Lepisosteus oculatus: one gene and its partner. Each later gene encodes a partner of the first gene's protein in a complex. Links are inferred from orthologs where the notes say so. Each region holds a gene or a part of one and is shown on either strand. Other genes may lie near its edges. The genes, in order: fmn2b and spire1a.

Evidence for each region.
Region 2: the proteins of fmn2b (region 1) and spire1a are in contact, whole or in part, in a crystal structure (PDB 2YLE), measured with the Homo sapiens proteins. The link is inferred for Lepisosteus oculatus from reciprocal best matches to the Homo sapiens genes FMN2 and SPIRE1. Residues at the interface, in NP_064450.3 of Homo sapiens: Ser1702, Leu1703, Lys1705, Ile1706, Lys1707, Pro1708, Arg1709, His1710, Gly1713, Ile1714, Lys1715, Lys1717, Ile1718, Lys1721, Thr1722; in NP_001122098.1 of Homo sapiens: Gln51, Pro52, Ile53, Asn54, Glu127, Ile131, Tyr134, Lys135, Asp138, Leu141, Lys142, Glu143, Asn144, Glu145, Glu146, Arg147, Glu148, Glu154, Ile157, Asp158, Ala161, Asn162, Thr163, Val164, Glu165.

The regions. Positions count from the first base shown.
Region 1 is NC_090712.1:16,472,744-16,488,401, forward strand, and holds the start of fmn2b (formin-2), read right to left. Parts: upstream 6,688-15,658; 5' UTR 6,654-6,687; coding exon 6,631-6,653; intron 4,074-6,630; coding exon 1,987-4,073; intron 1-1,986. UniProt on the Homo sapiens protein: Actin-binding protein that is involved in actin cytoskeleton assembly and reorganization. Acts as an actin nucleation factor and promotes assembly of actin filaments together with SPIRE1 and SPIRE2.
Region 2 is NC_090705.1:7,903,395-7,918,474, forward strand, and holds the start of spire1a (protein spire homolog 1), read right to left. Parts: upstream 6,279-15,080; 5' UTR 6,079-6,278; coding exon 5,739-6,078; intron 1-5,738.

The DNA of each region.
Region 1 (15,658 bases):
TGTTACTAACTTTATGAGGATAAAAACTAAATCCTGTCCTTTTCAAGACTTGACTAACCTATACCTTAGGGTTAAGATGACAATTGCTTTCTAAAACCTCTAAAACTTTATGCTATTGCAGAGGGTAGGCGTGTAATTTTGGTATTCAAGCTACAGTGGCCCACCAGCCTAGAGTTTATCCTGGTCTACACGGCAATAAGTGAACTCCCCCCATTCCCTCGGATGGCAAACCAAACCACCACAGAGCCAAATCCTTGAGCTGAGTGGGCTGGAGAACCTGAGGTAAACTCCCTTAATCAAGGTACTGCAGCCGTATCTACAGGAGGGACTGAAGGACACAAAGGTTACGAAGAGAAGGAGGCCTTTTGCCCCATCTTACCCAATTGGTATTTACTGGTTAACTGATCCCAGAACCTCACCAAGCTATTTCTTGAATGAAGTCAAGAGTACTGGCTTCTATGACATGACTGGGTACCTTGTTCCATACACCCATGCCGCTTTAGGTAAAGAAGTGCCTCCTGTTCATTGCTTTACAGTTCATGCACTTCCGCGTAGTTTCCACCTCATTGGTGCGGTTTCACTATTCATTCTGAAGTAATGGGTTGGCTGTCTCCTCACTTTGTCTTTGACTTGAGCTCACAGCCCACTAATTATGAGTCCATAGACTCTACACTACAACTTAGAGAGGGCACATTCATTTGATTTTGTATTAGGCCTTCAGGGTTTTCAAGTGAAATAAATATTCCACTAGATCAGAGCAGAAACCATGTATAGGATGTGTAAGTACCAATTTTTATTTTGCACTGTTGGCAGAGTCAATTGTACTTTCTAGACATGAATTTCCACAAGTAACCAAACAGAAAAGAGAGCTACTACTCTACTAAAAAGGAAAATGTTTAGTACAGAAAAACAGAAGCAAAGCTTGCTGAGCAGGCGGTTTTGTAGTACAGGAGCCCCCCAAAACAGAAAACCATAGAAATTATGTGAGAAAAAAAGATTCAGCTTTGTCATATATCTTTTCTAATAAATATTAAAATTAAGCTGAAATAATAAGAACATTTCTGCAGACTTAAAGCATGTCTTTATCCTTGTGTTTTTTCCACTACCTCCACCAGACCTTACAATTAACAAACATCAAAGGTTTCATATATTACAAACAACTGCATTTTATTAGCTTTTTAAAATTAAAAACATGTATATTTCCCTGCATTTCCTAATCACTGCTTTATTCTGCATTATCAGGCCAGGGAAAGCAAATAAACACTGGCCTCTAGCTGAGTAGTAAATACAAGCAAGCTGCATGTTTATCTGGAAGGGGAAATCCCAAGAATCCCTTCCTTAATTACAGTATCTTGGAGCAGGAAAGGGGGATTAACACAAGGAAGGTGCAATGCAGGGTGAAAGAGGAAAGGTCAATTCACTGTATTGATTCAAGAAACACTGTGGAACTACATGTCAAAGGGATTATCTTTGAAAAGCGTTATCTAGATTCTGACAAATTGTATGCACAACATGAATGCATTGCTAAACTAAACTCTTTCACATCTACATTCAAAAGCTTCTTCTTAAAAAGGGCCTTTACTTAACCGGTTCTGTTATTTACCCCTCTGCTCCTGCTGTATTCAGTACCCCCGTCTACTGTCTCCTGCTGCTGTTGTGTAAAGCGCTTTGAGAAGCCACCTTTGAAGGCGCTATATAAAATAAGGTTTATTATTGCATGTATTGCACACAGAAAACATCTTTCACATGACATCGCTAGAGAAAACCCAAGAATTTTCTTTTTCAGCAATTCTGCCTACAGGTACGGCGTATGAATGATGTCAGATGGCACTGTAACAATCTTCTCCGGTGCGATACAGTAGTTGCTATTTCAGGTATGTTACCGAGTTGATAAAAACAAAGGATGTGAAGAAACTAATAAAGCATACTGTATACCCAGTTATTTTAACTTCATGCGGTGGAGCAAACTGTACAAATCAAACTCACCAGTAAAGACATCATGGAAGCTACAGGTGGAAGCCTGGACCCCAGACGACTTGCGAGTAACGCACAAGGGCTGGCTGCCTCCTCTGAGCCTCTCTTCTGATCCCCCATACTCCAGGTAATCTGCCGAACCCGTCTTGTTGGACCTAAATTTGGACAGCTCATCAGTCCAGTCCGCCGAGCGGCTGAGCGGCCCTGTTATGCTCGAGGACCTCTGCTTCTTGACTCTCCGCCTGTCGGGCCTGTGGCCGAGGTCGCAGTACCGCCTCCGAAACAAGGGACTCTGGGACGGCGAGGGTCCCGGAGAATGGTTCGGGGAGCTGAGCTGTCTTGTTGTTGTTTTGATGTAAGAGGGGTGAATTGGAGGGTAAGGCTTGACAGTTGGGGAGGATGTGGAAGTCAAACTTGTCCTCAACAACCGACTTAAGGGACTTTCAGGGTGCCACTGAGAAAAGGGCACGCTGCTTTTTCTATGTGGCACAGTAGGGTCTTCGTCATCACCTTCTGCTTTTAGTTCCAAGCTGCAAGTATGTTCCAGCGATTCAGTTAATTCCTCCCTGCCATCAACAGTCCCATCTGAGGAATCAAGGGCTGCTTCATGGCTCCCATCTAGTTCAGCGCGACTTTCCTTTAGGAGAGATGAAATATCCACCTTGGCCTCCTCTTCTTCAGGCCCCTCTACACTTTCAAACGAGGCGGTCAGGTCAGGGACGCTGTTGGCGGTTGTTGCCGTGACAACAGGGCTCCCACCTCTCCCTCCGCTCGCCTCTGCAGGAGGCTGTGCGCTCTCGCTCGGGGGCTTGTGTTCTTTTGTCCCAGGCGAAGTACAAAAGGATTTCTCAGATTTGCTTGAAGCCTCACTTAAACCGTTTTGCACGTCTGCAGTTAAATTACTTTCTTGCCTTGCGCTGTCCAGAGAAACATGCAGCTCGCCAACATGGCCATTCTCCCAGTTAAAGGCAGCTTCCTGGTCTGCAACGTGCTCAGAGTCAGGGGGGGTTGTTTTAACATCACCCGCATGTTTATACTCAGCTATCCAGCTTGGCTCCTCAGCGGCTGAAATAATAACCCCCTGCTGCATCCTAATAGTATGCTGGATATCAGAAAGCAAATCCTCTTGTTCTGCAGCGGAGTGGAAACTATAGATATCCGTATCGGAGCCAGAGCTAGCCCTTTGTCCCTCCTGGGTTTCCACGGTTGCCTGTCGGCTCTCCATCGTGAGGTGGAACCGCTCAGCTTCTGTGTCCGACAGGCCCAGCTCGTCTGCGGAAAGGCTGATATCGGGGGTTTTGGTTTGGATAGAGAGCGCACTGTCCAGCTCATCTTGCTGAGAGGCCTGGGTCTCCAAAACATCCTCTTTGGAGCCCCCTGACAACCCCTTTGCCTTGGACAGGTTCTTACGGAGCCTGATGTTTGAAAACACGGATGCTTTAGATTCCGATTTGGATTTCTTCTTGCTGGAATCTCCCCCTTTGCCATGTTTGCCATGTGCCTTTTTACCGTGCAATCCTTTCTTTGTGTGTTCCACCTCCCTGGGCCCCCCAGCTTCTTCTGTGGCTTCACTGCTTTCCCCGGCTGCCCTTTTCAGCTTCCCATCCTGATTCCCCATGTTTATCAGCAAGCGGACTCCTTTCGCAATCAAGCCATGCTGATGGATGCTCTTTGCTTTGCCTCTCGGCGAGATCCTGCTCAGTAATCCGGGCTTGCTTTCCGGTGACGAGAGCGGTGATGATGCGGATGCAAAGGAAACAAACGCCTGTGCGTGCTCTCCCCCATCTGCTAGAGCTGCTGTTCTGCATAATGGGCTGCTTGCTGCCTGCTCCTCAGGGACATGCTCAGTGCAGCACTCCTGTCTGCAGACAGCTCCTTCCCCCGGCTGCTTCTGTTCCTGCTGCAGCTGACAATAGTGCTGCTTCCCCAGGCTCAGCGAGCTGCTCTTTCTCCTGTCTTTGAAAGGAGTTCGGAAAAAGCTCTCTCTCAGAGCGGGGACCTGCTTTTCAATTGTCTGGATGGCTTGCATTATGTATTCAAGGGATTCTCGGTCACCGACAGGCAGACATAGTTCAGGAGAAGGCCCCGGCAGTGTTTCACTATGACAAAAGACAAATAAGAAAAAAAGAACATCTTAAAAATTTGAAAACGTGCATTGCATACAGCACTGTTTTATGCGAAACCACTTACGTTACACATAAACCCTGCACATTTAGAATGACAGATTTCTGCTTCAGGAAAAAAATATTTCAGGAATACTGCATGTTTATGAAAATGATTGCCATTTGAAGAAATTTAGTTTTCACACTGTATGAATCAAATTCTTATTTGTGAAATATTAAAGTAAAAGTGTGCAACACATACAGAACAAATGAAAAACAGTGATATACTGTAGTTTTGCTTTAACAAAACGTACTGCAACTGATCTATACTGACAACCAATAACCACTTATAATAGGTTTTAGAAAAAGCATGTTTTTAACATGTTGCATCAGAACTCTATCTACTTCCTTTCCTATCCATGTTCATCTGTTTAAAGACACGGCATGAATTATCTCCCCAGGGAGCCGGGAGAGCAATAATAAGGTTCTAACCTCCCTTCTGCCTTTCAAAACACTCTACCGTCCTGAAGGATTAGGAAGAGATATTACATTACACAATAAGGATGAGGAAATCCAATTTAATATTTAACAGCTTACAAACAAACTAAAAAACTAAGCTCACATACTATGCAAAATATGGTTATAAAATGAAATGCAACATTTAACACTCACATTACAAAACTACCCTATAAATGGATTACAAAGGTCTGAGACACTGGTCGACATGCATTGATGCTTAAGTGCATGTGTACAAATACACAGAGTAAGAAGTCAGAAATCCTTGGGTCATTCTAAACATAAAAGAACTAAATTATATTGTTCAGTAACAAACTTGAGTGAAGATGTTGCTTACAACACAAATAATCTAATTTGATCACAACAGAATCAAATCTAAAATTACACTACTGATGCAACATCAGCATTATACATTTTACAGTACAGTACTGTACCAATAAAAGGGCTCTTAATATTGTCTTAATATTCCTTAGAAAGTACTGTAGTAATTCTCCGCCATTTTCATACAGCTGTAGGCTGTTATTTGTTTTTAATTCCGGTCTGTGAATGAGCCAACAACGCATATTTAATACAATCATAAAACCTTTTATTAGAAAGATCAATCCAGTTAGTTGCAATAGTAAACTGAAAACCCTTCAATGACATCGTTCCAAGTCAGCGTTTGTTTCACATAGTAAATACATATGCATGAACAAAATTTAAATATTAAAACTACATACTGTATGTACACCTGGTCCCTAGAAAAGGCACCGTTTGGGCTGCACATACAGTATTAACTACTGTAGAGATTATTTACTGTATACTGATGCCAACGCAATTAAATTATCCTGAATAATAAAACTAATGTCAACAACAGATAGTGGCATGAAATGCTGTCTTTAGAAGATTTCTTCATTTTGAGTTTTATTTGTTTAAAATATGTAAATTGTTCATCTCTTGGTTTTACTGCTGAATTTTAAAAATATTTTTAACGCGTTATTAGAGAGCTGTGCTAAGAAAACGGATTTTACAATCTGAGTCGAACACAAACATTTGGAGAAACAAAAATATAACAAAAACGAATGTGTAAAAACAGAAGTGATAATTGTTAAGGTTGATATTCAAAGTTTTTTCGTAGTTCCTTAAACTTTAAGTGAACACGTTGTGTCACACACAAAAACACCGTAATCACTTCGAAACTAAACGTAAAAACTATCGTAATTCCAATTGCTAAACCTTAAGAATCACAGTAACTAAACCCACTTCACAGGATAAACGTAAACTTTCGACTTACATTTCTTACAGAAAGTTTTACAAATATTTACAAAAGCGATATTATGTAAAAAAACTGACTTGCCTTAGTCCTTCTGTTCAATATTAGAATAAAACCAGAACGGCTTCAAATTTATAGGGCTTTTTCAATCACATGAACTCTGAAATGACTCATTTTTAAATCACATGTCTTCTAACCAGCATAACACTTACTGTAGCTAACCTTCACTAGTTTATAATGTACCATTCTTAATTAACTCTCCATATACTTACTAAAATACTTTAAAATGTAAAACGTGACTACTTTTTCTTGCAGTAAACGTGTTTTTTGTGCATTTAAACTTTTAAAATAAGACATACCTTATTTAATTAGTCTGATTTGGAAGCCATCAGTGCGTGGCTCGTCATTAACTACAAACTATCAGAATATATTTGTTTAGCGAGTCCAGCTTCCTATATTAATGTATACCTTTTTATAAATAAAATACTGAATGAACAAATACAAAGAATAATTACATTCAGTTACGTAAAAACATCTGGACACCTCTAGAAATACTTAACTGGGCAATAAAAATGGAATTTCAGCTATGTCAGAAGTGTTGGTCCCAACATCGGAAAATTAAGGTCGAGTTTACGAATGTTAACATTTAAATAACCTTTAATTTATTTCTGTTTAAGATTTATCACAATTTATATATATAAATAATTCTGGAGCCTAATCAATTAAAACTTAGATATAAAGGAACTTAATTCTGAAAGCTATATTAAAACTGAGCAAACTCATTACCTGTAACCAACGTCTACCTCCATTGTTAAAAATTTCGGCAGGTTTTTTTGGGAGGGTGGGGCGGGACACCTACTTACGCTGTTTTTTTTTTACATTGAACACGTGGTTCCACAATCCGTGAAGAGGGCCACAATTTAGCACGTGATTCCACAGTCCGTGACGGGTACCTGTCGTGGGATTAACAGAAGCGGTGCTCTGTGAGACAGTCCTATCGATTTGTGAGCTAGCACCGTGTAAACAGCTCATTCGCCCTACAGTGGGGAGTGTTGTAATGCACGTCTTTCAGCTTTGCCTGTTTTCCCTTTGCCTGTAAAAGTCAGGCAGTTGTGGGAAAACAAATCCAAGGAACAAAAGCCTTCGGGTTTGGTGAAAGAGCCCCCTTCTGTGCACTTTACTAATGCTTTTTTTTTCAAAAGCTCATACTGTATTAATATCATATCTTCTTGATCCTACAGTAGCATCCATCGTGAGTTATTCAGTATCACAGAAGCCATCAAATTTGTTCAAAGTGTACAGTACGAACCTTTAGCTATAGAGAAAGCAGTTCAAAAAGGAACAATGACATGTATTTTTAATAAACGATATTTTCTGGCCAGCAAATACTTGGGTATACAGTGTATTGCTCTTCTTTTGTTTACTGCCAAATGCTTAACTGCTTCCTATTAAAAACACTTTCATAAAGTTTTAAAAAACAATAACAAAGCCTTGTTGGATGTTTATATGATGTATTGTCCAACTTTAAAGTTATATGTAAACCATCTGTAATTAGTGTAAGGTCTTCTCTAATATTTTTCATAACAAGATTGTTTTGTTGAATATAAAGCTGCTACAGCAACACTTATTGCCTGAAACATTGTTAAATGCATTATGTCATATTAATTTTGTTCTCCAGATTATCAGTAGAGTCTGATTATTTCTGTTTGTACACATGTCATATACAGTATACATTATGTGTGTGTGTAATCAGCAAGACATGCACCAGACAAAACAAGAAAACTTTTAGAAATTCATACTCACTGTCATGGCACGCAGAGTAGAACAGAAATATTCTCCTTCCCAGTTTTTGTTGCCATCCTTTCCCTTGTTTGCAATTTTCCGAAGTGTTTCCTGACAGCAGAGCCGGGTGCATTATTAAAGCAGTTTTTCCACAACCAAATTATTCGGTGGAGTGAGCAGACAGAGAATCCCTTTGCCCTGAGTCAGGACAGACTGTTTAATGGCAGTGCTGGCTGTCTGCCTGAAGTTTATTGACAGAAATAAATACAGAAAGAAATAACGAGACCTTGACTTTTCTTTTTCTAAATTGAAATTAATTTGGCTGCAGAGGACAACGCAAAGTTCACACTGTAGGGACTGAAGTGTGAAGGAGTACACTTCACTCAGAGTGCTGGAGTTGCTTGGAGCTACAGAATCTGTGGAGCCATACCATTGCCATCCTGGAGCCATCCAGGTGGGGCTGCACACTGGTGGTGGTGGAGGGGATCCCCATTACCTGTAAAGCGCTTTGAGTGGAGTGTCCAGAAAAGCGCTATATAAGTGTAAGCAATTATTATTATTATTATTATTATTATTATTATTATTATTATTATTATTATTATTGTCATAGACTGTGCTCTTCAAAGAATTAAATAAGAGTAGGTAACGGAGATCAGCGAGGGACAAATACAGTATCTGTTTTGCCAAGTTTGTAGACTAGAAAAAAAACTCCTTCTGCTGCACTTTTCTGGTCCCATTCTAAAAGCTTACCTCATTGTGCATTATGGGTCTGTCAGTCTTTCAGAACAGCAGTAATGTCCCCCTGCGGATATTTGATCATATTCTTGTACATCTGCAATATCATTATGATGATCATTATCAAGAAATAAAAATACTGTACAACATCTGCTAGTCATATACAGTAGGTTATGTATTACTCTGCCACCTCTTGGTCAGATGTAAATTTAAATTTTTAAGTGATTATGTAAGAGACAACAGAGGTTTGAAAATGTTCTGCTGGGTAAAATAAAACTTGGTTCTATACTGACACTGTGTGGTAAAGTTAGTGCATTGCATTTAGCCTTATCCACCAGGATTTTCAAATATTTAATGCCTACTATGACTAGTCCTTACAACAGGATGAAATGAGGTTATGTTGAGTTTTCTAAATAATTGGTTTAGATAATTAGCAAAGACATGCTAGATATTCTGGGACTGTCAAATTATACTGGTCTATAGATCTGGTCTGTTACTGAACCCCAGATATTTTTTAACTGCACAGGGACTGCTGCAAAAGCTACTGTATACTTACTTCATATCATTTGAATTTCTGCATTCAGCTAGAGATACAGTACAAAATTAAACAAAACAGATAAAAACGATTTCACTTTCGAAATAAACTGTGATTCATGCTTTACAATAAAAAACTTCATTTTCAATAAGGCCTATTTTTATTATGATTTCTCATGTTTTGCCTCTAACATTTTCAGTTTAGAATTTAGGTGGCAGGGCAGTTAGTACTTCTGTCTCAGAGAACTGGGGTCATGGGTACATTATGTGTGGAGTTTGCATGTTCCCCTTGTTGGCAGGGTTCCTTTCATTGGGTGCTCCAGTTTCTTCCCACTTTCCAAAGACAAGCTAGCTAGGTGGATTTGTCTCTTTAAATTGTCCCTGTGCGTGTGTCTTGTCATTGGACTGGCATTCAACGCAGGACGTAGTCCTCCTTGGACCCCAGACATTTGGACAAGGAAAACCATGAATAAGCAGATTTTTGATAATGGAAGGATGACTGGATGGGTTTACTAAGCGAAATGTCCTTTGTTGCCACATGGACCACTAAATTGACTGCAAGGTGTGGTAAACGTACTAAGTACTGTATTGGGAAATTATTCACCATATACCATTAGTAATATATTATTCACAGACAAAAAATCAGCAGTATATTGTGTAATGTGCCAATTGAATGAAAAAGGGACAATTACATCACTAAACTAAACACCAATGATAAACATAGAGAATACTGTATATATTGGTTATATTTAGTGAACAGGACATGAATGTACAATTTACTGTAAGTAGGAATATGTGCATGTGACAGAAACCTTATTAAAATACACAATTCTTACCAGTACAGTAGACTAACTTGGCTTCTGAGAAAATCAGCCCTGGTGTGAGTGGGTGTGTGTTTGTTTGTGTGTGTGTGTCCCCTCTGATGGACGGGCATCCTATTCATCCAGCCTTGCGCCTGTTGCTTGCCAGGACAGACTCTGGCACCCCTGCAACCCTGTATTGAATAAATTGGATAGAAAATGGATGGATAGAAATATTTTCATAGTTTCCCACTTGTTAGCAGCCAAAAAGTTGCTGGGTGGGAACAATCCCTCAGATGGACCCTCGTGGGTCATAACACCCTGTTAATCAGGGTTTGGTCAGTCAATAGTGCTTCCTATCAGTTAATAATGCTGAAGGTGCATGAATGCCCTTGTGAGAGTCACATCAAGCAACACTGCTTCCTCGTTCACTGAGCAACGGAATAGTAGGACTGTGAATAAAGCCAGCAGAACTGAACACTTTCAGTACCCTTCAAATATGACCTTTCCTCCCATCCCATCCCATTCCCATTCCCATTGCGTATACTGTCATTTACTCCATACTCAGGAGATAATAAAAGATGCAAAAAACATTATATATGACATTGATCTTAAACCTCCTTTCAGCAAAACCTCTGGTATGAAAATGTCTTTAGGCTTGTCAATCAGTCAGTTTTGCATATTTAATAATTAGGCATGAATGCACGTTGCATTTAAAAAGTGGTTTATTCAAGTATGGATACAGTACTGCTCTGCAGTCTCACAGTTCTAGAATGCCCTGGGGAGACTCTCTGTGTGTACTGTGTGCACATTCTCCTTATCCTCACTCAGGGTATTGTTGGGAGAGTCCAGTTTCCTTCTACTTTCCAAGGACCCGGTGTACAGAACGTGCCCTGCGATGGACTGGCATCCAGTTCTGCGTGAAGTCTCACCTCAAATTCTATTCTTTCAGCTTACAACATCCCTTGCCAGGGATAACTAGCTTTCCAATAATAAATGGACAATATTGATTGTTTTTCTACCAATTTGATTAGTACAATGAATATTGATTAGACTGTTTCATTTTAATTATCTATTGATTTGTTTGTTTGTTTTTTTGCTGCAGCAGCATTTTACTGTTCTGGAACTTCAAGGAAGACAAGCAGCATTTAAGAATGGCAAATAGTAAACTTCTTGGGTATCCCAATAAATGAAGGTCATGGGTTTCAACAAGTTTTTCAGCTGTATTTATATACAGGTCCAGTAACAATTGAACAGGCAAATGAGACTACCATGATGTCAAAACATAATGCTTTCACTCAGTATGTCAGTAACACTTAACGTTATGCTTCACTTGACCTTAAAATCAATGCTAATTTATGCAGTTTGAAACGCAGACGAGTTTCAATATCCATGTTTTAATGGTCAAGTAGTTCTTTCTAATCATACTAATCATATCTCCCTTTGGAGATCTGTCAATACCTTTGGCCAGTTCAATATATGGGGCAGGGTCATTTGTTTTCTCCCCACAAACAATACAGAGTCACAGGGTGGACTGTTTACCGTTCAAGTCAAACGTGATTCTACAACTCCATGTGCGTCTGCTTCATGGGGCTTACGCTGTATAATGTGCCTCAGATGAACCTGATTTTCACAGCCCACACCTTGACTCAATTACTGGGCTGTTAGCAGCCATTTTGGCTTAGTCCCCACTCTTGGCACACAAAAGAGCCAGAGATGGCTGCCTCCCATGGAAGCCTCCCAAAGTCACTGTAAGTGAGACTTCCACTTATGATGTGGACACCCTCGCAGTAAGACATTACTGAAATCTTCTGCATTGAAATCTTCTGCTGTTATAATTTGAACATTCCAGTATTCAGCAGAGCTTTAGTCATTTTTGACGTGCTTTGATTCAAGACATTGAGTAAGAGGTCTTCAAAGGGAATGAGGTGATATACTCCCAGATCTAAAATAAGACAATAGCACTGTACTGTATGTCAGAGGAACTGTATCCAGGCATTTTTAAATGGAAACCATTATTATAGTGTAATTACAGTATGTTTTCATCTACTATATATATACAGCTGTTAGGACACAGAAACTGTTGTTGGTTATGACAGATTTTCATAAGTACCATAGATATCACTGAAGATGTTTATCATGAACGTAACACATGTAGAACTGTTTGCTTCATTTTCTTTTTCTTTGAGTAGATATGAAAAAAGCATTCGGTATGTACTGTAACACAACAGCTGTTACTGGCCTTGTTTGTGTAAGTGTCTGGAGGACTGCTTAAGGATGATTAAAAGAAAAAATAGGTATGAACATTTGATGCAATTTGGAGGAATTCAGGCGTTGGTTTTGCCCCATGAAGTTCAGGGTAAAAATCAAAGGGGGGCAGTGTTACTTCAGGGCAAGATGAGGTACTTCGGGATGGTAGAAAAAGCTGGATGCCCAGTCATGGTGGTAGTGTAGCTCTACACTTTCGGTGTGAAAACAGTCTCGTTACAGAGACCCAGGATGGTGGAAGAATATTTCCTTGTTCCAAGCCACGATTGGTACCCATATCTGTTCTGATATATGTTTTGCTGGAAACATTTCATGTGACTTGAAATTCATCACGCACATATCTTTAAAAGAAACTTGCAATATAAGCTTTTAAGATGAAAGAGAAATAACACAGACAGTTTTTAAAATATTTATTGCTGTTTTAAAGCAATCCATAAACAATATATTTATAAATGACCATGTTTAAAAATATGGCCACAAATTATATGTGGCTATTCAGTGTACAAAAAGACAGATAATGTGGGAAATTTAAATCTTGTTGCATTTAATAAACAGATGAACTGCAAAAACAACACAAAGAAGAAAATTAAAAACATCAAGCTTCACTACCCAGTAGGTTTAAAAATACGCATATAAACACATGAAAAGCTGCAACACTGTACAACATCCTTCACAGTTTCAGAAATATGTTTTTGTTTTAAAGTGATCCATCATGTCTAGCAAAATGTTTCAGATTATTTATGTCATAAAGATGCAAATGAACACAATTTCCCTTCCTCTTCTTTCACTTTTAGAAAGCATCTGACCCTTTCACTTTCACACTTTCATGTTTGTGCTGTTTAAAGTTTAAAACAAGCGGCTGCCTTCGAAAAACATACACAAGCAAAAACAAACGTTCATAAAGTGAAGCAAAACAGTAAAGAAAATGCTTATGGTGAACTGAAACCACATCAGATTCATTGCCCTTCACTGAGTGACATACTGTAAAGCCTACTGTATAACACTTTTTTCATTGTGTAATTATCAATGTTTCACCAATTAAAATCAAATTTGTGTCATTTGCCAAATGCATGATTTCAAGATTTAAAACAAAAAGCTAATTGATTACTATATTAGTGGGATAGAGTAATAAGCCATGAAGTTGGCTATCTTTAGCTTAGCATACTGTATGTTGTAAATGTCTAAAACATTCGCTTGCAGCTTGAAATTTATGAATCAGCTGATGCTAGGGTCACCCTGGCTCATACTGTATTTCTTTGCCACCTGTGACTGGGACTCACCAAGCAGAGCTGGCATGAATCAATGAGGGCAGAAATGCTGGGTACACCACAAACATGTAGTGTGTCAGACAAGTGACTTAAAAGGTAGGCATACTGTACTGGCGCATGTCTACATGTTTCATTCAGCTACATATCTGCTGTTCTAAGCAGGTGTGGTCTGAGTCACTGCTGGAGATCAGAGATTTAAAAAAATAGTTGCAACTCCGAATTACGTGGGTGTATAATTAAAAAGTGATTTCAAATTAAAAAAAGAATAAATCGTTTATTAGCTGATATGCAGATAATGATAACATGTTTTTCAAATAGTAGCAGTGTTTATATTTATGTTTGCCCCCTAGGATTATGGATTGCAACCCACCGTATGCTGTAGGTTTTAAATAAATCTGAGCCATTTTAAAATCATTCCTGTAAGGTCCTCTATGCACAAGTTTCAATAACCTCAATATCATAACATAAAACAGTTTATCATCGACTACCAAAATCACACTGTAAAGCCTGAGATTACGGCAGACACCGCATAAAGGTGGCAGAGAGTGCACACAACTACAGAACATCATAATGCAATTTGTCAGGCATCAATTACAAAAAGTAATACAGTATGTAATTTTAATACAAAAAGCTGTACAAGCCTTCCCATGCATCCTGGCTTTTAAAATAAAAAAAAAAGAAAACTGAATCATACACTAAACTTCAATGTACTGTAAGTTATCTATTTTCTAATTAAAGCAGCTGATAAATCAAAGAAATTACAGAATTACAGTATGTTGTCTGTAAAAGGGCCTGATCGACAAGCAAGGTCTTTAAGGGTCATCGTTCACTCAAAAATGTGATTTTATTTGTTACTCACACAGAGTAAAAAAACACACATCCATTATGTTCAGCATTACTGTTCTTTCGAGCGATGCTAATCTAATATAATATACACTGTCCCGTCTTGCAGCGCTGGGGGCCTGGGTTCAGTTCAGGACCTGCGTGCTGTCTGCGTGGTGTTTGTATGTTCTCCACATGTTTGCGTGTGTTTTCGCGAGGTGCTCTGGGCTCGTCCAACACTCAAAGGAAATACTGGTGGGATAATTGGCTTTTGGGAAAACTGGCCCTGGTGCGTGTGTGTGCCCTTTGATAGACTGGTACAGCACCTGTCCAGAGTGTACCCTGTCTTATACCTGTTGTTCGCCACGGTAGGTGTCAGCTCCCCTGCAACCCTGAATGGCAAGAAGCGGTTAGAAAATAGATGAATGGACTCTATAATACTATGTCGTTTGCCATTATAAAGTTGCTTAATTCTATTGTGTTGTCTGAATATCAAAATACAATATATTTCAGAAGAGGATCGGACTGATTAGGTCGAGTGGTTGTATAAAGCTGAAATGTCTCTCCTATCCAAGAACGTTTTGTAAAGAGTTGCTGTTCATTTTGTAATAAAATTAAATTAAATTAATTTTTAACTGCACAGAAGCTAAATATATTTGATGTTTTTGGTATGATATGTTTTAACATTTGTTCAGGAAAGTAAGTTTCTTGGTAGATCAAATGCAAACTTTCAATGCACAGTGAAGAAAACACTCTTCCAGACAATCAGTTCTTCCTGATGCAATAAATGCATTTATTAAAATGGACATGACTATTTATAGATTGTGTAAAAAATTACCACTGTTGCTATCTGTAATTAATTAGCATTGTAGAAATTAAATAAAATGTCAGTTCAATTATTTTACAAAGGATGCAATTGCAGGGTAAATTCTATTGCTAACTATATACAAAATGAAAGTGCTGTTAAAATGTGCTGTGATAAAACAATAATGGTTCACAAGAAAATGAAGGTGGAAAATCCAATCTGACAAATCTTTCAAAGATAACTGCCTTTACACATAAAATAATATCAACCAAGCCAAGACAATTCCAGCTCTCATCACTTTCTTCATCTGATGTTTCTCAAAGTGAAATAAATCAAGAACTTACCCACCTAGGGTATATTAACATTACCTTTGTTCAAAATCCTTTTGGAAACGCTGTTGTCAAAATAAATATATGCGTAAAAGCAGGTGAAGGTGATATTCCACAGAGCAGTTAAGCATTCATTTTTGTCCTTGGCATACAGTCTATTGTTCCTGCCACAATCACATGGCATTTTATATTTTTAGAAGTTTGTTTAACACAAGATCTTAAAACACATACTGTACATGGCTTGGGTCTTGTGCAGTGAAGGTTTTGGAAGAAAATATTCAGAACAATGGATATTCAGATATGTAATTCATTTATTCACATTTCTGAAAGGACTGAAAATGTGCTTTTGTTTTCCATCAAATGTTATGAATCTAAGGTGCTGATCACATCTGTAAACCACTGTTTCCCAGCCACACCATGAGTTACAACAGTTTTCAGAATTCACGCCCATTCGTTTCCACGGAGGGTCAC
Region 2 (15,080 bases), on another chromosome or scaffold:
GCAGAGATAGAACCCAAAATCCTATCACCTCACAGACCGGCAGCCTTAAACTTTAAACTCTCAAAATGTAAGAAACTCGAAGGATTTCTAAGGACTGATGAGAGTACTGCCACGGGAAAGACCGTCTTTGAGTCGATAGGAAGTCCTCCGTTTGCAGCCAGACTAATTTGGCTGAAGAGCCTGCTCACAGTGATTATTTCTATTGCATACAAACACACTCACACAGTGCGTGTTATACACCATGCCATCCAGCTGTTCTGTGAAAACAAGCACAGGAGTCTAGAAAGGCGATGATTTGACATCAGATGCAGGCCAATAGGGTTTAAAGCCTACAGTCCTAGCAGCTTGGTAACAAAACTGATTATGTTTCTCTGTAAAAAGAGCTTCTTTACATAATAGACATATGAAGTAAAGTATAAAGTATTTTAAGATTATATACTTTATTCTTTGCATAATAGATTTGCCATGCCACAGTTTGTCAATTTGATCATCTATTTCCGCACCGAATCATATTCTTCGAAATATGAAGCAAAAAGAAAATTACAAATCAGATGTTTTCAAGTTTCAAATTTAAACCCAGTCATGTGCACCACTCCTGAAAATTCCAAGTCCACAGGCAAATGTGTTATTACACAGACTCTAGACATTGGTTTTAGCTGCTTCTGAACTTAAAGGTGTCTCCTGATATGTTGTTAATAAATTCACAATTCACTCACTTCTTTTCTTTGTGAATGTCTGAGGTCTTACATATAAATCATCCCACACAACACAGGCAGGTATTCGTCTTAGAAATAGGGTTATATATCGGATACACAGGGCTAGGATTATAGCTGTAGGGCCCCTGACTCAAGGCCACCTAATTCCAGCATGTAACAGCCTGGGATCAAACTGGTGATGCATGGATTTTAGGATTTTGCCTCCACTCCAGACAAGCACAGAAAGACAAATTCAAGTTCTTCTTAGACTTTCAGAGCCAAATTCAAGCAAACAACGAGAACTGGAGCAGACAACCAGCTGCTAATTATACAAACCAAATGATGAGAAAAGTATCCTTGAGCATTTCTTGCAAACTAAATAATCATCTTCCTTTGTGCAAATTATCCCAGGGTCTCGGAATCTTGACTTCATTCATTTCAGTTGCTTAGATATTGACTCCATGTCTGTGATCACTGGACTATCCTTCTGCATTGCCTGTTGCTGTTGGCTTTAACATGCAATGCATGTTTCTCCGTCTGTTGAAGAACCGCAGTCCTCTTTGGAAGCCTCTTTCATTTCCAGAAATACACATCACAAGGTTAACTCCAGCCAGGACAGAACAAAGACACAGAGAAACTCTACGGTGACACTAAAATCAGGGCCGCATTTTCTGGCAAATCGAGGGTATTGCCAAGCTACTCCAAGCGCTGGAATGTTGTTATTTATAGTTCTTCTTAGAATTGTAAGTCTTTTGTGGTGCAAGCAGACGAAAGGGGCTACCTCAGCCCCTCTTTTAATGTTAGTGTCTAATTGCTCTAAAATATAGTCAATGCCAAACTGGAGGCTAATGGAGGTGGTAAATAGCTTCAGGGATGTCTTAACGGCATTTGGCATATGGAGAGCAAGCTGGGGTATGTGAAAAGACAAATTCCTAATGCAAGAAATTGTATGTGGCTAATAAAGTGAGTGTAATCTTAATTTACCGGAAATTATAGTGATTGAATTATTTTATACAGTGACATTAACTTACCGACTATTTCAAGCTGATAGAACGTTCACTGACAAAATATTTTGATATGCAATCCAAAGATCCAGATTACACCACAAAAGAAGAAAAGGTCTTTCTGGTCAGCCCTGATCCTCCTGCTCTGCCCTTGGGAATGCTATCGCCTGGGAATGCTGCACACAGCTCTTACTCACATAGGTTTGCAAATATTTCATTTACTCCATAACTCACGACATAACCTAATGCATATAAAACACCCGAGGACCTGATCAGAAGTAACACTCTTAATAATAAAGGGAATGTTCCAAGTGATCAGCTGTAAAAGACATTTGAAAACTCATAAGTGTCTAAATGAGAAAATAATTAGGTTATGTGACTACAGAGGTTGGCACACCAACCAGAAGACACCTGGCCCTCCAGGAATTCTGTCTGAGACGTGCGTTTTAGAGAACACACTAGAAACGGCAGAGCTGTTTTGAAAACGCAATGATGAACAACGTCATCGTTTAACCCGTGCTCCAAGACCTGGAGAACCGCTAGTGTATGATCTACACATAAAAGGCATGTCAAAACTGGACCAGGTAATTATTAGCCACTGAATCGGACTTCTGTTACATCCAAGGTTACTAAAAAGTAAATGGCATTAAATTACAGGATCATGAAAACATATAAAAATAGGATCCTAGAGGACCTTCAACATAGATTTGTTTTTAAAAAAACAGGTAGGCTTTGCTTAACTAACTTGCTAGAGGAATTTGAACAAGCAACAACAGTATCTTCACGTACACATGGAATGCATGATTTTCATTACACTTTTTTTTCCTCGATTTTGACACTCCAGAGGTCACTAGTGGAAACTGTGTAGGCGTGCATTTAAAAACAAGAATAGGAGGCATCGCTTTACACAAAGGGTTGTGGGAGTATGGAACTGACTGCTCAGCCACGACTCTGAAGTCAACATTGTACTTTCTTTCAAGAAATGGCTGGATGAGATAATTGGTGCAATTAGCTACTAATTACCAGATGGGCTAGCTGGGCTTGATTGGCCTCCAATGGTTCGTAGCCTTAATTATGTTTAAAAAATAGAGTAAACCAACTGCTTAATCACTATCGGAATTTAAGAAACTCTGTCTCAACATGACATTGATTACCATTGAAACATGTGGAGCTTCATGTAAGTGGCTCAGCCATTCGTCAGTAAGGAAACTGCAATAAACCGTATGAACCACACTGCACTGTAGTTGCATATAGCGTCTTGGCACCATCTTCTTTAATATCATCACTTGAATGTGTAAAAGGCAGGTACTGATCACCCTCAGAGGAGAGGAGAAGAGGACTAAAGGAGAGCAAGCATCGTTGGAAACAGTTAAACCCTCGCATCAGTGCTAGGATAAAACTAACTAATGGTGCATTTCCTACAGCTTTGCATAGAACAGAGACCCAACGCCTCAACTCGTACAAAAACAAAGCTATCAGGATTCAACTGGACTCTCAGCCACCACTGGCCAGACATGAAAGTGTTAATTATGAAAGTGATGAGATACCAGTCAGCCTCCTAAGCAGCATTAAAACATGAACTGTCTACTGCACCACTAAGTATCTTTTTTTTTACATTAATTGAATCAGCAATACATCATTCCACATTAAATTAAAAGGTGCTTGAAGTGGACTGGCACTGCGCCCAAGAATAGCCGCAACAACAACAGGGCCAGTAAGCAACACTGTCCAGCCCTGTGTCCTCAGAAAGCACTGACAAGGACCAGCTCTTAGAAAGCTGACTGTCATTTATTTTGCTGAGCACTGAAGGGGAAGGCAGATGCACATGAAGTTCACAGCACAATTACAGTGCACGAGAAACACATTAAGACAAGCAGTCCAAGCATGCGTGCAACTTCTTAACTCCATCTTTAAATACTGTCCGGTATTCATGAACTTTGCAGACTACTGTGGCTTGTGAAAAACACCATCACTGCTGATACAAGTGCTGTACGCAATGACACTTCCTTGAAGTCCATCAGTGGCTCGGTGATGCAGTAGGCTGTTAGATGCAGGTAAGGCAGACCTAACACATGATTCGCAGCACGTTTTCATACCGGTTTACATCGGTAGTACTTGGATTCTAAATCCGTGTTGCACTAAAAGCACAAAGAAAAAGAATTCAAAAACAGCTGTGTCTGGCTAGACAGAAACCTGTATGCACCATCAGCTGACAAGCGCATACTGTATACGGCATGGCTGCTCTCTCTCATAGCGCGATGGTAAAACAAAAAACTGGACTGCCCGTTTTCCGAAATATTTCTCTTTACCATTTTCCTTACACAACACTGTCTCGGAATGTGGCTGGGGGAGAAACTACCACATTCTGTGGTTTTTCTTCTACTGCACATGACATCAGCCAAACCTGCTCAACAGCAATTATAACATAATAAGGCGTGACAGCTTTAAACATCACAAGGTATGACATCTGCTCAAATCAATATTCTACTTTCAAAACCTAAAACTACACCCGAGGCTAATTTTCAAGACACTGGGGCGTAGGGATGCGAAACCTCTGTAAATAATAGGTTTGTTTTTCCTTTCTTCAAATAACGTGACGTTTTAAGGGGAGGGATACTGCTGTCAGCTTTTTTACTGTCAGGTTTTTTTACATACCGGCAGACAATACATGACTGATGAATAGGGCCGTTTTGAAGCAAGTAAGCCTCACGCCTTCAAGAAATACGATTGGCATAATAAGGAAAATGAACAATGAGACCAAAACAAAACTAATGAAATACTTAAGCATTTATGGTTAAATCCCCGTCAACAGACTTAAATGGTTTTCCCAGTATGTTGGAACGGGACATGTTTTTACTGTAATGAAATTTTAATTGAACTGAGATACGGGACCTCAACACGAAAGACAACGCCTGGGACGCGTGTGGTTTTATTCATTAAAAAGCTCCTAATGCTCATGGGTGTCAAATATTTAATTTGACGAAAGGGACAATAATCTTTTATATATATATACACACTCTCGCACCCCTTGTCTTTATAAAGCTACACTATACAAACGCGAACAATGGAATTTTATACTTCCTTCATGACAGCAAACTCAACTCCAAGAATACACCTAACACCGGTAAAAACACCGTAACAGCGACTTTACACTCTCACCCTCGAAGAACAATGATGATTGGACCCTTTGTCTCAACGTGCGAGGTGACCCCAGCTGGATCGATCACGTGGTCCCATTGTTTACGACCAGAGCGCCACCGACACCTTTGCCACCCACCACCACAACCGGCCCGTTCGGGACCAGCTGGTCGGAGTCCATCTTCGAGAATCACACGAAAACTTTTCATTTTGTAATGTCTCATCTCTAAATGCTCCGGTGGCTCTAGGGGCGTGTAAATTGGATAAAGCGTCTTTCTATTTTTAGGCGCTGAAATGACATGCATGATAAAAAAGGGGGGGGGGGGGTTTCTATGGTTTTGCTTTTTTTTCCCCCTCAACCGGAACCGCTCTTGGCCCAACTCCAGCTTTGCTCGTGTTGCGTAACTGTGTAAGTTAATTATTTCGGTTGATTCTCGGCTTCTACAGAAACGGGGTCCAACACGTGAGAACTCGCTGCGCCTAGCAATTTCAGCGCGGTTGTTATAATTAAAACAACCCGTTTCGGCGCACTGGAACAATGGCTGGACCTATGAGGCGATGCGGTATCCCCGAAATACATTCATTTTCAAAATTTCGAGAGCCTTTCAATTCAACTCGGGGCCGATCTAAGGAATGGTGTGGGTGTTATAGGCACCGAAGTGCATTGCAATTATCTAATCATTGCACGATCCGATTTCATGTACAGAAACGTGGCGGTATGCACAATATTCCTCTCAATCCAAACCACAGAAGATGATTAAATGCATCTCACGGGCACCGACCTAAACAGTAACAGCCAAGGTGTAACTATGACGAGGTATGTCTTCAACCCAGCTATCTTGCTCACGGTTTTGAACAACATCAATAACACGAAGGACGACGCTTAGGAAGAGAGGTTTACCTGAGCCTCCCTGCCTGTGGTGCAGCCTCACGGCTCCGTCTTTGCAGATTCGGACATCAGCAGCGCCTTCAATCCTCCAGGCTCGCCCCTCGCCCCTCGCCCCGGCGCTGCTCCCCCGAAACCCCTGAGCCAGGGTCCGGCAGCACTGGTAACAAACGGCCCACGCCTGCTCCTCATTGATCGGCTGGCTGTAGAGCTTCAGAATCTCCTCCAGAGACAGCTCGTCGGCACCATCGCCGCCTTCCATGTTTACATCCCCAGAAGTCTGCTCATCACTGCCCGGCTGCCGAAGCGCACCCGCGGTCAGCCCTTCCTTGTCAGCGCCTCGCCTCTCGGCCATCCTCTCATTATATCCACAGGGAGAGGTTCCGCCGACACTGCGCAGCGAGGGATGCGATATACGGAAGAGCTCAGACCCTTAAGTCATCGAGAGCCGTGCTAAATCTCTGCCCTCCCACAGTAATTCCATTGAATGGCTCGTTTCTCCCCCCTTCCAGCGGTTTCTTATGGGTTTCTGTCATATGACGAAAGTTAGTCGCATGGTCCCAAAACCAGACGGGTTCCCAGCCTAGCGCTCCGAGCTCCAGGCGTCATCAATCACGACGCGGACAGGTTGTGCTGAGACGACGTCGTGCGGGAGACGGCTGTTATGTTAGGGGACGCGTGTTTTGTAAGTCAGCGATGTCTTTAAAGTATGTGAAATGTCGCCTTATGTGAAGATGCAAGCGCTCGGTATACAATTCATAGGGGGAAAAAAAAATATTTATAAGCGCGGGGAGATAACGGAGCGGGTTTTCGTTTTGGACTCCCGAGTCTCCCTTTTTCCACCCCGTCCATCGTCGGGAAGCCGCTCGCTCTCGGAAGGGGTCCAGTCGGCCGGCACCCTGTGCAGAAAACAAGCGACAGCAATCTCGACAGGACGACGCAAGTCACGGGCACACGGGCAGTTGTAGAGACACCAGTTAACTTAGCCATCGTGTGTCTGAGAGGAAACCGGAGCACCAAGCGAAAACCAAGTGATCTAGGCGAGAGCATTCAAACTCCACATCAAAGGTGCCCCAGTCTTAACTTGAGCTATGTTCACACAGCGCCGGATTTGCCAGGCTGTTTTTGCAAAAATAGTGGTTCTCAAATCAGTTCTTGAAGTACTCCTGTGTCTTCTGAATAGTCATTCTAGCTCAGTTCTTAAAGGGCTAGGCTAGGTGATCTCTAGCTGTTTAAGTTTTTTTTTTAAGGAATTGAATGGAGTTAGGAATAAGTATAGACCCCGAATCAATCTCTAAGTTTCACACCAGCCCCTATCCAGGTAACAAAGGTAATTGGACTACTGCACAGCGTATACCTGTTTTTCTGGTGGAGTTTTTGATAGTCTTTCCCAATTAAGAGTTGCTTGACAGAACAGTAGCAGCAGCTTGGCAGTAATTACTTAACGAGCCGGTTGAGGGGTGAATAGATTGAACAGAACAGATGATCCTGAAGCTTCTTCACAGTGACAGACCTACAGAAAAGCAGTTCAGAAACCCAGGTAGAAATAGTGCAGTAAGAAGCTGAAATGGTGTCGGTAATCAAGTTCAAGTGAGATATCAGTTTATCATCGTGGGTAAGAGGTCATTTGAAACAAACAGTGGAAGACACAGCGTACTCTAGTCCTGGGGGGTGTTTATAATAAGACTTCTCACCCATGATCAAATGAAACAATAGCAGCTCTTTCTTATACTAGTGATTACCCTACACCTAATCACACTGGCCTTGTGCAGTGTGCAGTGGGAACATCCAGAGCACAAGAAGGAGCTGTGACAAGAGCCCATGTTTGTGAGACGCAGAGTAGACCAGGGATGGCCAGCTCTGGTCCTGGAGACGCACTCCCCAGTAGGTTTTATGGATTGCTCCTAGTTTTTTAAGAAACCTTAAAACAATTGTGACTGGAGCAGGAAATCCGTTCATTTCAGCAGTTCAGAGATCACATAAAATGACATTACCAATACCCTTTTACCCTCAGGGATTGCAGTTACTCATTTCTGATTTACCTGAATCAAATTTACGGGATGGTAACTGTACAAAACTCAGGTGTTCCGAGTTTTTCCAGATTATTCATTTAAGGGTTGACCTGCGGTTTGAGGTCTCCAGCACCATACACCCTTCCAGTAGAAAATGTGGGCCATTGGAACAGGAATATTCAACTTCCAGCTGATCTGCACTATTGCCGTGTTGATTCTGATAATGAGAAAATAATTAAGATTACTTTATTGGCCGTATACAATTTCCTGTATTAGGAATTTGTCTTTTCACATACCACAATTTGCTCTCCATGAGACACACAGACAGGGAGAGAAGCTTGGGATCAGAGCGCAAAGTCAGCCATTTATACAGCGCCCCTGGAGCAGTTGGGTTTAAGGGCCTTGCTCAGGGGCTCAACAGAGTAGGATTCCTCTGCCGGCCGCAGGATACAAACTGGCAACCTTCCAGCCACAGGCGCAGATCCTTAGCCACAGAGCCACCGAACTACCCCAATTTCTTTTTAAAGAGCTGCTTGCAGTCAAACCATGTGATAGAGATGATTGGAGGTCCTGCAAGGTGGATTAACTGTATTATGACCCTACAGGACCAGGACTGAGCTCCGAGTTCAACTCCAACCTGACCCACCATCTGTGTGGAGTCTGCATGCTCTCTCCAGGTTTCCATGGGTTTTCTTTAGTTGATCTAGTTTCCTCCCACATTCCAAATGCAGGCTTTCCAAATTTAATAGCACCACTAAATTGTCCCCATGTAAGTGAGTAATCTAACTTGCCCCAAACCCCTAAAAATAAAGAGATTCTTAAAACTGGTTCAGTGATTGTGGTTTCTCTGCAGTCACATCTAAACGAAGATATTAATTTATCAGAATACTATTCCTTTACATCCGTGACCTCTGAATACTGATTCTTGGTATGTGTCTTCCTTGCAAATTCGTTAGTTTAAATGAATTGATCCTTTGCTTCAGTGTTCTTTGAATGAAGGGAGACATGTTAGCCTCGACAAAGTAAATTTAATCATTTACTTCTAAACTGTAAATATTACAGCAGTAATAAAAAGAAAAATACGGTCAATTTAAGATTGTGTTCCGATTCCTTGACATGATTCCCAATTCTATGAGAAATGTAATACGGAACGTCACAAACTCTAGTGCATTTAAAATGCAGTGAGACTCGAAAACACGGAGACATGGACTAGCGCAAGAAAAAATAGACCAGACCTAAAAGTGACACTTTTACACAGCGCTGTTTAGTTTATTTACACCTAGCTAGCTCGTCTTCTACCTCTCCTCCGGGTTCACTACAGGCTTCAGTGCGCCCTCTGCTGGAATAAAACTATATGACTTGAAGACCCTGTAGTTTTGGGAACCGTAGTCTGAGCTCGGGGTTCCAACTGCTAAGTACGCTGACTTGTGTGCTATGTGGCTAATGAATGTGTTTTGATCTCTGGAAAAAAACACAGCATAATTATTTAAATTATTGCTAAAATTTGAAAAACACGTCAACGAGGATACCCCAGATTCTGTCAAGAAGGGGCTGAATGGGACTTATTTTATTATGAATGGGTTTTAACTAATCCATAAATTACTAGAACCTAAATAAATGGGCTAGATGGGGCCCAGTGGCTTCCTCGCCTTTTTAATATTGAAGGTCTTCCTTAAAAAAATGCCTGGATGTACTTAAAAGAAAATTCTAATGATTGACGCCTTTTTCTAATCAAAATCAAGTGTTACCCTGAACAAATCCCAAGAGTTTTCCAAAAAAAATCGACATAAAGCAGAGGAATCCTCTATTAAAACATTAATAAATAATACTTTAGTGATATGTATACAATATTTATATTTCTCCATTTATATCAATAAAACCCACATGTATTTTACCCTGGATTAAAATTGCACTGTACTTTGTCTAAAAACCATATGGATCCACCTAAAAACTACAAAATACAAGCCCAGTACGCAGTGTGTTTCCTCGGGATGGAAAATCTCTACAGAACAACCAACCATCACCATCCCATCAGTTATTGTGCTCATAGTTTGTACTTGGTAGGTCAACCGCTGATTCAGAAACATGAGAAAGGTTACAAATGGAGGCCATGCAGGCCATGTAGCATGTGTGGTTGTTAGCACTCAACTGACCGGAGGAGCTCATCCCACTGTTCATGGAAAGAACCCAGGAACTTCCTTCTCCACACCCTCAACCACCACCTGTCACGCCCTCTGCAGCCAGAGGGCGCTCCTTCTCTGTCCTGTCCCTAGTTTCCGGTCTGCTGTCCTTCCTGTCCCTCTCTTTCCCTTGGTCTATATATTTCCGGGTCTTGCACTCTGTCCTTGCTCAGCATTGACGTTCGGATGTCCTGAGACCCGCCTAGCACCAGGGCGCCCCACGTCCGCTCCTTGAGGGCATAGGTTTCTATACGGCATTCCTGAACTCTTTGCACTAATGAGCCCGGGCCTTTTTCCCGTCTCGCCGCTACGCATATGGGTCTTTTTCCGCTCTCCTACTCCCCACGGTTAGTCCCCTTGGACGTCCGTGACACCACCCTTCAGGTCAAGAAGTGCCTCCTGTTCTCAGTTTGAAATGCACTCCCACTAAAGCTGCAGTTCCACAGTCTCGGCGGCGCCTGCGAGTACAGCGTACGGTACGCCTCAGGAGGTAAACCCAGGCGATGGCCACAGAGAGACAGGCCCCCGTCTGTGCTGTCTCGGTATGACACGGACACCTGTGCGTCCCGATCCCTGCTGTGATCACACTGGCTGGGAACGTACCAAACTGACAAACCGCACGAAACCCCTCTGCAGTCTGAGGACGCCACACAGCAGAGATGTAAGAGCCACTAGGTGGCGCTTTGAATATCCTTAGTTTGAGGGGTAAGACCAGGGTGCAGTGTGAGGGAGGAGAGGCAAACCTCCATTAGTCCATGAACCTTTGAGTGGGAATCCAGAGAGAGGGGGTCTTCAATGGGAACTGGTCTCAGGAATTTTGTCTTGTTACTTAAGTGGGATAAAACAGGGATAAAAAGAGGACAGCCTTGCAATTCAATTCAAAACCATTACTGGAAAAGATTAGTCAACTGAAAATGGAATTGTGTACTGGGTAATTTATTACTGACTTTTACTCATATTTTATTTAAAAAAAATATGAGTACACTATAAATTTATGATTTTGGCAGGTCACAAAAACTCCTTGTTATACCTATCTATATGTATTTAGATATTGTTGATTTTTTTTATGAGTGTGGCAGTTAATGATGCCGTCTCACTGTTCTTGGGTCCTGGGTTTGATTTCCAGACTGGGGAATTGGGTGGTGATAGTCAGCCCCCTCATCCTGTCCAATACGGGTCCTGGTGTTCCCCTAAACTAATGAAACAATACTGGGTCCCTCTCATTAACCGTTCTTAGGTTCATCCATTTTCTAACCACTTTATCCTATACACAGGGGAGCCGGATCCCAGCAAGCCACAGGTGCCAGTGCAAGACATACCCCTGGACAGGACAAGTCAATCACAGGACAGACACACACGCTCACACCAGGGCCAATTTCATCAGAAGCCAATTAAGCCACCAGTATATCTCTGGGCTGTGGGAGGAAACCACAAAACCTGGAGGAAACCCATGTGAGCACGTTCAGAACATACAAACTCCACACAGACAGCAGCCCAGAAATTGAACCCAGGGCCCCAGTGCTGTGAGGCAGCAATGCTGACCTCTGTGACAACCTCTTATGTACCACAGGGACATGTGTGGGTAAAACAGGAGAGAGAATTAAGAAACAATGGTTAACATTCTTCTAAATGATTCGGATCTGTGATGGGGGACATTGTCAGTGAACAGCTTTAAAGTCCCATGGAATAGATGATCCAACAACTTTAGTCTTTTCATCACACTGTCACGTCTGGAAGTATTACAGAATATCAGCAGTTTTCTCAACGGGAACAATGGCCAAAATCAATTAGATCAAACCTTTGCAGGTTTTACTGGTTTCATTTCAGCTGGCAAAATATCGAACAACCGCATTTTTTAAGAAATGGAAAAAGTGTGTGTAAAACCAACCAGCACAACTTCTTTTTAATGAATTCGGCTAATGCTCATCTGTGATCTGTGTGGAATACTGATTGATATCTCTGCATGTGCCCTTCAACTGCCAGATGAAAGGATGATGCCTAGCAATTGTTTTAACTAACAGTGCTGGCAGTTTTAGCTTTAAATTTCAAGTGGTACTTGCTGTGGAAATGTTGACTCGTGTTAGTCCAGTAGCTAGGTAACCAATTTTAAATGAGGAAAGAAACAAAAGCTCTCTGAAACTCCTCAAAAGTTCACTGACGATTGACATCATCTAGTTTAAGCAGAGCCATGGTGAAAACAAAAACTCAGATACGAACATACATTAGCTCAGATTTCATAATAATAATGATGATGATAACAATTAAATGTTAATGCATCTGCAGTTCGTAAAAAGATATTAACTCGTTAATTCCACTAGGCAGAGAACATACAGATTAAGCATCATGCACAAGTCTAAGATCAAGGCACAACAGTCCTGTTCATCGCTAAAGGAACACAAAGCACTTTTAGAATGATGTTCTAACTGTGCCATCAGTACAATGAAAGGCATTGCATCACCTGGAGAGGAATCTGACAGCCATCCTGCAACAGTAAAGTTAAACAGCAACATAAATATGTGCTTATTGCAAATAAGAATGGATGAAAATATTCTTTTTATAGGCTAAAGGTAGGGAGTGCTTTATGTGAAAGACGTTTTCATCAGCTTTCTTCAAATTCGAACACATCCTTTTATGCCTGATGTTATGAGCAGTTTAAGTTTTCTATTAATCCAGTATGCACTATTTGTCCCCTAAGTAGATTAAAACAGAGTTTTAAACTACTTTACGTTCTCCACATCTCAAAAGTACAATATGCTTAGTGTATCAAGCAGTTATGTCTGGCCATTGTGCACCATCTGCTTGCGGAGGGAAAAGTACACAGCTTTCTATCTACAATTTGTTCTTTATTCCAAAGCAGTACCTGCAGAGCTTTAAGCAATCACGAAGCGCCAGGGGAAAGCAGGTATGAGTCACCCATCTTGAAAGGCTGATCATGTTGCTTCAGAAGCTAAAAGAGCAGTTTGCACCACACTGATGGGATTGCAAGTGAAAAAGGAACATCCAGTGGTAGAAACACTTCATTGGATATATTGTCATAACCTGATGTATCTGCAGAGTGGCAGCTGATTTTTAACTTAAATGTTGATAATTTTATAAAAACCACAACATTCCACTGTTTTTTAACACATCTCTCCATCATCATCATCCCATTCTGGTCCACAAACAGGCAGTATATCCTGGGAATTTGCATCTTCGGAAACACTCAACAGCACAGCTCGATGAAGCAAACAGAGTCACTGCTTTAAGGAGCAATCCTCTGCCATTTTGTTACTCCATTTTGGCAGGTTCATGCTCCACCACTGACTTCAACCGGCACAAAGAAAAATAGGATTGAGTCTTGATTTTTTTTTTTGGTTGTACATTCTGTTTTGACTGTTTAGACCTGCAATTATTTTCAAGAAATTCAGCTTCATAAATACGCTATGACTCCACACTCCAGATGCTTACAGATGTGTTGAATGGATTGTAGTAAACTACGGAAGGGTGTTTATTAACCAAAACTGCCTCTTTCGAAAGTAAACAATCCACATAGGCAAGGGAATGCTTGTCGTGACCTGCTCTTTCTGTCTTAATACATTTTCATTACGAAGGGAATCAAAATGAATTTTTTAAAAACCCGTCAGAAAAGTTTAGAACAAGAAAAGATCGTTTAGCCCATCTTTAATAATAATAATAATGTTTCTTTATTAGCCCTATACAATTTCTTGCATTAGGAATGCGTCTTTTCGCATACCCCAGCTTTTCTCCAGGGAGACACAGACACAGAGACAGGGAGAGAAGCTTGGGGTCAGAGCGCAGGGTCTGCCATTGTACGGCGCCCCTGGAGCAGTTGGGGTTAAGGGCCTTGCTCAGGGGCCCAACGGAGTAGGATTCCTCTGCCGGCCGCGGGATTTGAACCCGGGATTGTTTCAGGGATTTGAATTTATATTGCTTCCGCTCAGGGGCTCACTTAGGAAGAACTTTCAGCGGACGAACTCGATGACACACGTGACAGAAGGTTACCGGAAATTGATTGGAGAAAAATTTGGATGATGCCCAATAAATATTGTATAACCAATAAAATTAAGGAGGTTTCATACCAAATAATTCATCGAATTTACCCAGTTAAACCTCTTGTTACCCAACGATTTAAAAGTAATATAGATGACAAATGTGTTTTTTGTGACAACAGCCCTGAAACTATTCAGCATTTGTTTTGGTTATGTCCCAGGGTAAAAATGTTATGGACTAAGTTGCAGAACTATATTAAAAAAGAGACCAATATTGATATTTGTTTTGTTGAAAAAAGATGTTAAGTTTCAGCCCCAGTGAAAACAATATTAAAATTTCGTTTGTAATAAATGTAATTATTATACTGGCACGTTATCACATACATAAAATGAAGTGGTCTGGGAAGTACCCTGTGTTTGAGTATTTTAAAATGGAAGTAAAGGGGTATTTGCAGACTATTTCGAAATGCAAAAATTTGAAAGCGGTGCGGACATTGTTTTTTATTTAATTTGTTCAATCTTTTTTCATAACTTGAATTTATGTAGTAGTATGTACCCCTGACGATATTTTTGTTTTGAATTGTTATATGTACTCTTGTTTGTATTGTAATTTTTGTTCTTTTGTTAAGCATAAATAAACATTTTTTTTTTAAAAGACTGTTACCGGAAATCCACAAGTTTCGGCCAACAAATGGTTAGTCGCCTCAGTGACGTTTTTCCGGGTATTTATAAGGCTCTTAGTGACGAACGCTCTTCTCCTCCAATCGTCGCCGATCCCAGCCTGAAGCCTGTGACGTGTTAATAGACAAAGCGGACAGGAAGTGGGTGGAGCCAGACGGGGGGAGGAGTTTGTTTTTTTTTTACATTTCCTCATTCTCTCCTGTGTGCGGTTGCAGCGTTTGCAATCGTGACTGGAGACTTAGAAAAATAAGAAACTGGCGATTCCGTATCGAGTGGGTATGTACGAAAATATATTCAAAATAAACCTAACGTATTAGTTTTTATCCACAAACAGTTCTACAGGCCTGCGATTTTCCTCTGTGCCAACAAGTCCTTTATATCCTAGAAAAGCTCGTAATTATCCATCTCCCTGTTAAAATGGATTTTATAAAGAGTGTGATGTGATTGTGCAGGGCAGCAGAATTCCACTTCATTTTCATTGTCTGTTATCGTTGT